2 linked regions of the Cricetulus griseus genome follow. The protein of the gene in region 2 interacts with the protein of the main gene of each other region in a pairwise test. Links are inferred from orthologs where the notes say so. Each region holds a gene or a part of one and is shown on either strand. Other genes may lie near its edges. The genes, in order: Iscu and Hprt1.

What was found.
Region 1: the proteins of Hprt1 (region 2) and Iscu interact in binary tests that used the Homo sapiens proteins (3 or more experiments, as listed by UniProt). The two-hybrid records come from large-scale screens. The link is inferred for Cricetulus griseus from reciprocal best matches to the Homo sapiens genes HPRT1 and ISCU.

Annotation. Positions count from the first base shown.
Region 1 is NC_048597.1:93,416,709-93,421,033, reverse strand, and holds the start of Iscu (iron-sulfur cluster assembly enzyme ISCU, mitochondrial), read right to left. Parts: upstream 2,816-4,325; 5' UTR 2,773-2,815; coding exon 2,659-2,772; intron 1,301-2,658; coding exon 1,187-1,300; intron 478-1,186; coding exon 367-477; intron 1-366. Other genes in the region: squamous cell carcinoma antigen recognized by T-cells 3, read left to right, coding at 3,900-4,214.
Region 2 is NC_048604.1:17,040,282-17,044,565, reverse strand, and holds the start of Hprt1 (hypoxanthine-guanine phosphoribosyltransferase), read left to right. Parts: upstream 1-1,210; 5' UTR 1,211-1,352; coding exon 1,353-1,379; intron 1,380-4,284. UniProt on the Homo sapiens protein: Converts guanine to guanosine monophosphate, and hypoxanthine to inosine monophosphate. Transfers the 5-phosphoribosyl group from 5-phosphoribosylpyrophosphate onto the purine.

The sequences.
Region 1 (4,325 bases), on a different chromosome or scaffold from region 2:
GTAACAGTAACAAAAAGCCTCAAAATGGTTCACAACTCCCAATGTGAGGAATGTAACCAGTATTAAACTTTAGAAAATGGCTTCAAGAAATCATTGACATCTTTTTTTTCCCCCTAAGCAAGGTCTTGCTGCCTTTCCCAAGCTGGTTTTGAACTAACTATCTTCATCTTCCTGCTTTTTGTTTTGTGATTTATGACTAGACTCTTCCAGAGCCAGGGTTGCAGGGAATTCTGATTTAATTCTATGATTATGTTGAAACAGGTCTCATTATGTGCACAAGGCTAGCCTGGAATTCAGAGATCCTTCTGTCTCTGCCTTCTGAGTGCTGGGATTAAATAATTCTATACAATCTGTGACCACTCTTACCGTCTTTCCCTTTACCCACTCCGTGGCTAGGGAGCTGGAGGCGATGGCGGAGCCGCAGCCAAATGTTTTAAATCTGGCATCCACAATCTTCCCCTTCTCATCCACCTGGATCTAGAAAAGAAACAGGCGCTCAGAGGTGATTCCTGGACCTGACATCTAGAATGCAAGAGCCTGGAACTTCTGGCCCACAGTGTGTGTTATGAATGAGCCCTGGCTTGCTGCCCACACCAGATGCCATGGCACTGATTACTGTTTTTTTTGAAAGAGCTCAGTCACTGACAGTGAAACTCGGGGTCCACACAGGCCCAGCCGGTAGAGAGAGAGGAGCAGGGAAACGATGGCTCTCACCCTACTTTGGTTGTTTTCAACCCTAGTCTGCTGTATGTGAATTCTAAGCAGAAGTCTGCTGACAGCTGCTGCCTCTATCGGCCTCCTTAGGCACCAGGAGAGCCTGCAATCCAGGTCCTCATTAATGTCTTGGACACCGACTATAATTAGTGGCTCCTTCCTACTGCTTACTCAGGTGATACACATCATCTCCCGCCCCTTCCTCTTCCTGGAAAGGTTCGGTTAGCACATTCCCTTTCTCACTGTCGAGTGCTAGCTCATGCGGATTCTTCCATTGGCCAGTAACATTCATAAAGCCTTTCACTCACTGAAAAGGGGTCTACAGTGATGCAGTGAAGAGGAAAATGAAGTCATCTGTTTCAGAACAAGACAAGCCTCTACCCTCACCATCCATGACAGCCACTCAATCTGTCTCACAGGAATGGACAGACAAGACGATTTGCTACGGTGATCCTTTCCATCCAGCCAGTACCTGCAGTTTCATGACGTCACCACACGCCGGCGCACCCACCAATCCGGTCCCGACGTTTTTGGATGTTTTGTCAAGGGACCCCACATTCCTAGGATTCTCATAATGATCTACAACCTGAAACGACAGATTAACAGACTTCACCATCTCCCTTGGGTCAGCAATCCCAATGGGACAGAGGTGGGAGGGCAATGTGTGACGTAGACTCTTTCCGTCTCCTTCCTGACGACCTTCATCTAGGAGATACTGTCCGAGATATTGGCAAGAAACTCAGGTTACAACTTAGGTTCATAGGTATTTCAACCACAATTTAATCACGTGACTTACACAATGACACCAGCTTTGGGCTCAAACACCACTTACTTACATTTTTTACCAAACAAAATATACTGTCGTAAGAGAATTACGCATTTTAAAACTCCAAGGGTACAAATGGCCCCAAATGGAAGATTTCCTAAGTGTCAAGGTGACTGTTTCAGATGAGCCAAGGTCGCCGTGGCGCCGCGCCATTTGTGGCTGTAAACATAAACACAATGCCACCCTGGTGCAGGAGCGCCCCCTGGTGCCGTAAGGCTTCCAGCCCGCCCAAATTCCTGTGGATACTAATGTCAACAAAACACGCTCCTCTTTGGGGGGGGGGTTGAAGGCCTTGGCAAAAGCATGCAAACAAGAATATAACAGACAAGAATATAACAGACAGACATTACAGTCAGGAATAGTAAGATTTAATAACTTTGATTTTTTTTTTTTGGCTAGTTACCAGGAGGCGCCCTCATTTGCAGATTGAGTCTAAGCCCTGAGGCCCCACAACGCACATCTCATCTGATGTCTTGTCTAGCTGTGGTAGTCTTTTTTGTTTTTTTTTTCTTTCTTTCCCGAGAGTCTCTTGTCAGGGGGCCTTCACGTCCTTAGAAGATAGGGGGCCACAAACTACCTACCCTTCTATACTTTGTGCTCCCCGAAAATACACAAACAAATAACCGAGAGCCAAAGTTGTACGTAGGTTAGGTGCTTGGTTCGCCCGGGGCCCATCAGCTCTTAAAATAACAACATGGCCGTAAGCGGTTTCCATTCGTTGGACCGAGCGCTCCGCACACAGGGGGCTGCCGAGGACCCTTTTTGGATCTGGGGGGACGGGTCAGGCGATGGCAGTGGCCTGGCGAGGACGCTGGTGCTGGGCAGTGAGCTCAGATTCAGAAACGTGTGTGTGTGGCGCCCCTTGACCCCCGGCATGACATACCGGGACCCTCCCTTCTGGGCTGGCAGAGTCGGGACACTCCAAGTGGCGGGGCTGAGGTTGCCGCGGGATCGTCGGGGGTGCTCATCCGGGCAACGGCTGCAGGTCGGGTAACTGCGCAGCGGGGGTAGGCGAGCCGGGGAGTAGCTGGGGAGCCGACCGCCTCTCCCAGGGGCACCCGGCTGGCGCCGGTCGCCCGTCCCCTCGGTGGTTCGCGCACCCCCTCGCCAGCCCATACCTTTTTGTGATAGAGCCGGGCTGGGGCCGACAGCTCCCGGGCGGGCAGTCGCGGGCTCCGGAGCAGCAGCGCGGAAGCCGCCCTCCTCAGACGGCCCGCTCCGACCGCCGCCATGTTGCCGGCTCGCACCTGCGTCGATCGCGGCGACGTCAAAGCCAGGGCGCGCTAGCCTGACGTCACCGGGCGTTGCGGCCGTCGGCCCCGCCCCCGGGAGGGGCGTGGCGGGCACAGAGCGGGAAGGTCTGAAGCGGCGCTAGGCTGGGTGTTGGGGCTTTGCTCGGGCCGCCGCAGGGGTCTCGGGCGGGCTTGGGGTTCGAACTGGCGCGAGTCCCGGTTAAACTCCGTGTTCTGGCTGCGTGGCTCAGGAAGCGGGCTCTCTTTGCTAATTCAAGCACAGCCCTTTCATCTGGAGCAAATGCGTAGTGAGTGCACACGGGGCGTCACCACAGAATCTTGGGGGGGGGTCCCCCGGAAAGCAAGACGGACGCGACTCCCGCCTCGCTAACCTTGCTAGTGAAGGAGAAAGGCAGTGTGCATTGAAAAGCGCCAACGCTTTTCTACCCCAAGGACGAGAAGTGTAAGAAGGAAACGCCCCGACATATCCATGAATGAAACTCCCCGTTTTATGGCAGTGCACGGCATCCCTAGACAACACTTACTGCACATTACCAATAACACTGGCTATGAACCTGTGAAGTCACAAAATTCACGGGGTTAACACCTAGGAGGACGCTTTATCCTTCCGGAGACAGAACGTTCTCGTGAATGGTGCAATCCGATCGCCGAGGAACCCGAGTTTTTTTTTTTTTTTTTCTGCACCCGAGGCTCGGTTGCTGGGAAACAAGCAAGCACTTAGAGCCGGCTGAGCGAGGCAGAAGGCGTTCAGTCCCAAGAATGACTTTGACCTTCTTAAGATGGCGTTTCGACCTTAACCACAGACACCACGCTCACACGACTTCCGCTGTGGCCGCCACTTCCGGTTCAAAGACCCAACAGCTGTCCAAAGTTGTAACGGAATTCACGTTATGCTCATGAGCCTTTTTCCCCCGACATTGCCTCCTTTAGAAATATAAAGATATATCCGCGGTGGTTATTTTACGGGTTTCCCGCCTCTCCAGGCCCTCCGTGCCGCTTCTAGTGCTGACGAAGCGGCGTTCTGATTAGGCGGACGCCGCGGACAGCCCGACGTTCGCCGGGCTTCGGCGGGCGAGGGAAGACCCGAGACTCGCAAGCTGCGCAAGATGGCGACTGCGGCTGCAGCCTCTGCGTCCGAGCCGGAGGTTGAGCCCCAGGCGGGGCCTGAGGCCGAGGGAGGGGAGGATGAGGCGAAGGCAGCCAGTGCGGACAGGAATGTGCAGTCCCGCGCTGTGGCCTCCGACGCGGCCAAGACCAAAGGGCCAGGGTGGGACCTGCAGCGGGAAGGCGTGAGCGAGAGTGACGGGGATGAGGAGGACGCCATGGCTTCCTCCGCTGAGAGCTCCCCCGGGGAGGACGAGTGGGAGTACGACGAGGAGGAGGAGAAAAACCAGCTGGAAATCGAGCGGCTGGAGGAGCAGGTGGGCAGCGGGCTCCTTCCCTTGGGTACCCAGGCCTGGCCCGCCCGCTCGGAGGTCGCCAACGCCATCGCCATCGCCATCGCCATCGCCGTCACCCACCGTGTCTCCCTG
Region 2 (4,284 bases):
TTATTGTGATATAGAATAGTGAACATAGAGCCTCCCACATACTCTGGCTGCACTATACTCTTGGCTCTTTCATTCTTTTCTTTTTTTTTTTTTTTTTGGTTTTTCCAGACAGGGTTTCTCTGTGTACCTTTGAAGCCTATCCTGGCACTCGCTCTGGAGACCAGGCTGGCCTCGAACTCACAGAGATCCACCTGCCTCTGCCTCCCGAGTGCTGGGGTTAAAGGCATGCACCACCAACGCCCGGCGACTCTTTCATTTTTTTCAAACATTAGTTAGTCAGTTGTTCTTTTGTCAGGGCCTCACTTTGTATCCCAGGCTGGTCTGGAACTCACAATTGCAATTCTCCTACCTCCAGAGTACTGGAATTACAAGCATGTTACCACATATGGCTAAAATTCCCCTTGTAAGCAATGACAACAGCTTCCTTGGTAACATGAACTTGCATGAGCATTTCTTTCCTTTGTATGAGCATATTGCAGTCATGTGCAGGCGCGTTCGCCTGTGCAGCAGCTTCAAGAGGCCAGAGGATGAGGGCAAAATATCTTCCTCAGTCCCTAGTACACTTTAGCAAATTTTATTTTGAAACAATTTCTTACTAAATTGCCCAGATATGTTGAATATTCGATCCTTCTTGGTAGCTGGGCATATAATCTGCTTTTTTTTTTTTTTTACCTCGCCTGCGTTAAAAATGCTCATTCTATGTAAAGGCAAAAAGCAGTTTGGGGTCGATTTTACAAGGTTACAAAGCAGTTTTCTTTTCCTCTTGGTTCTGTACCCTGATCAGGCTATTCTAGGGTTGTAGGTCTCAAGTCTTAAAACTAAGTAAGGACTTTTTTTTTAAAGAACTGCTTCTAAATCAGGAAAATGGAAGCCATCCACCATGTGGGGCTTGGGAAGGGGACGTCTGGCTTGAGGAACCACATGGTGACAAGAACCTGAAGAATCCACCAGTTTAATAGTCAGGAGGAGAGAAAAAGAAATGCGAACTGAGGTAGGTTTGATTATTTGGGAGTCCTCTGGGATACTGGAAGCGGCCCGGAAATTGCTGTGTGACCAGTGCTGGATTTTTCCAGAAGAAAATTCCCAGGAGTACCTGGCCCCAGGAGCCACCCAGTAGCGGCTCTCCCGCAGAGGAGCGCGGGAGAACGCCCACCCTCGCCGCCAGGGGCGGGGCCTGGGCGGTCCGAGGGGCGGTCCGAGGGCGGGGCCTCGGCAGCGGCGTCTGTGACCCGTTGCCGAGGCGGCGGAGAAGCTAGTTGGGTTTACCTCACCGCTTTCTCGTGCCTCGGCGCCTCCTCTGCGGGCTTCCTCCTCACACCGCTCTTCGCTCCCGCCAGCCGACCGATTCCGTCATGGCGACCCGCAGCCCCAGCGTCGTGGTGAGCCCCGGGACTCTTCAGCAGAGCGGGACAGCCAGGCCTAGGCGGCTGGCTGCTCAGTGGCGCCGCTCGGGGCCCGTTGGCGGGCCTTGGGTGTTGGGGCCCGCGGAAGTCCGGGGCGGGGGCGGTCACCGCTTCCCGGAATCCGGCTGCGCGTCCCCAGAGGGCGGCGGGCAGCAGGATGGAATGGCGGGGTTCAGGGCTGGGTCTCCCCTGGGAGCCCCGAGACGGTTGACTGCTTGTGAGGCAGGCAGGTGGAAATGGCGTTGCCTTGACATGTGCGGCCACCGGGAGCCCGGCGGGGAGAGGCGGAGGGCGACTTGGAGAAAGATACCTCACGGAGAGGGGAGAGGGGAGAGGGGAGAGGGCGGGGGAGCTTTCTCGGGGAGACCCTTGCTCTTGAAGTTCGGGGCTTGGCGGCCAGGGAGAGCTTCGGGGGGCGCCTCTGGAAGGAGCTCCAGTACCCTACACGACAGCATGGGAGGGCACGTTCAGGCCTGGGCTTTGCCTCTAATTCTGCAGATGTCATAATTCGTATTTGTGGAATGCGCAATTGCTCCATTGAATCCGCGTTGCGGCCCTGCTACTGGAAAAGCATGTCTGTTTTCCCACCTGAGGAGACTAGTGAAAAGGCGGCTCATTTTTTTTCCCACGGCTTGGGGTTGGGGTTGAGATACATTTGTCCTTGATGCTGTGAGGAATTTGTTTTTAAATATGGATTTAGTTGTTAGGCTAAAGGACATTTTCCCCCCAGTCAGCCCCTGTATTTTGTCTCTTCTCCCATTGGCTCTATTTTTCGTAACCTGACAAGCTGATCCCCCACTCTGCTCCACAACCTTGCTTGCTAAAATAACTTAAAGCTCCTGCCTCCGATTAAATATTTTAGCCTGCTTTATTGTGATTATTGCCCCTACTACTAATTAAATGTCATATCATTCTTTATTAATATCACTGTGGTAGATTTCGTAGTTACCTGGTTACTTGTTGATTGTCTCTCCCACTTACACAAACTAATTATTTTCATTTTTCTGGAAGGGTCTTACTGTGTAGCTCTGGGTGGTTAGGAATTAGCAATGTAAACCACCCGGCTGGTCATGAACTTGTGACAGTCCTCTTGACTCTTGCCTCCCAAGTACTGCAACACCATGGCCTGCTGAGTTTTTTTTCGTGGTAGGAACTGAACCCAGAGCTTTGTTCCCGATAGGTGAGCTGTCTACCTCTGAGCCAAAGGCTACCGCCCTTAAACAAGCTTTATAGGTCAGGAATCAACATTGTAGCTTTAGCATCTAGCACAATGCCTGGTTTGTGGGGAGCTTCCATTAATAGTATGTTGAGTGAATTAATAAGCATTTGAGCCTAAAAATGCTGTCTCATAGTCATATTAGACAGTGTGGCTTAAGGTAGAAACTCTGTTTTTTTGTTTGTTTGTTTTTTTGGATTTTCGAGACAGGGTTTCTCTGTGGCTTTGGAGGCTGTCCTGGAACTAGCTCTTGTAGTAGACCAGGCTGGTCTCAGAACTCACAGAGATCCACCTGCCTCTGCCTCCCAAGTGCTGGGATTAAAGGCCTGCGTCACCAACGCCCGTTGAAACACTCTGTTCTCAATGACCTGGAGTCCTGCTCTTGATTCCCCAAGTAAACCAGGCCTTGGATTTACAGTCATCTTGCTTCTACCTCAGTGAGGGGATTACATGCAAGCATGTGCCATCTTCTGGTTTGAGGAGCTGGCTGCTGGTGTTGAAAGGACTGTAAGACAATATGCAAATAAACAAGCATTTCACAGTTCCTGGGTGGAAACAGGAATAATAACCATCATTGTCTTTACATAGATGATCCTAATTAGTTTTCAGAATAACCCTGTAACAATGGTGTGTTCACATTATCAGACATAATAGGGGGAGAGACCCCCCTCAAGTATTCAGCCCTGGTTTAGATTAGCACCAGAAGCAAGGATAAATTTTAGGCGGTGGAGCTCTGCCTTAAAAAATAGATCTATCTCTGGAGCCTATGGGCAACAGTCTGCTGTTATTTTTATTTGGTTACTGAGGAGTTCTACAGATGCCTTTAAGTTTTGAGATTTGGTACTTGTAGAGTATAGAGCTAATTAGTTCTTAATCTTAGAAGTGACTATTCTTAGTTTTGTTTGAACATCAAGAAATTCACTATTTTTAGCTTGCAAATTCCTGTTCCTTGTTTTTAAGTTTCCTTCCCCTAAATTGTCTGCATGTTAGGAATAACAAACACAAAAACACTTAACTAGTGCTTACTGTGTGCTAGTTGCTCTTCTAAGTCCTTTAACTGACTTGATTTTTTTCCTAATTTTTCTGTATATGGCTGTTTTGCCTGCATGTATGTATGTAAACCACATGCTTGCCCTGTGCCTGTGGAGTCCAGAAGAGCTCATCAGATCCTCAAGAACTGGTATTTCAGATGATTGTGAACTGCCAATGGAGGTTCTGGAAATGAACCCAGGTCCTCTGGAAGAGTAATAAGTGCTCTTATTACTGAGCCATCCTCCAACCCCTACCTGACTTACTCTTTAAAAAAATTTACACAGAGGAGTTAAGGAACTTTGCTAAATCATTCAGTGCCATTACATTTGAACCTGTTCTCTGGCCCCAGATTCTACCCTTAACCAGTAAATTTAAGCTAGGAGCTATAGTAAATGTTTCTTAGATACCTTTCTCTGTCTTAGGCATTGACAAATGTTTTTGCAGACTTTATCTAATGTCAATACCCTAAAGTTACATAATATGGACCCTGTTGTGTAGACTAATATGATTGGTGACACAGGTAGACCAAGTGACCATGCACTAGATCTCCTTCATGAAACTGGCCCCTAGGTGTTCCTGATAGATATAAAACACGTTGCTTGTAACTATCATTTATCAAAAAGCTTCTGGCTT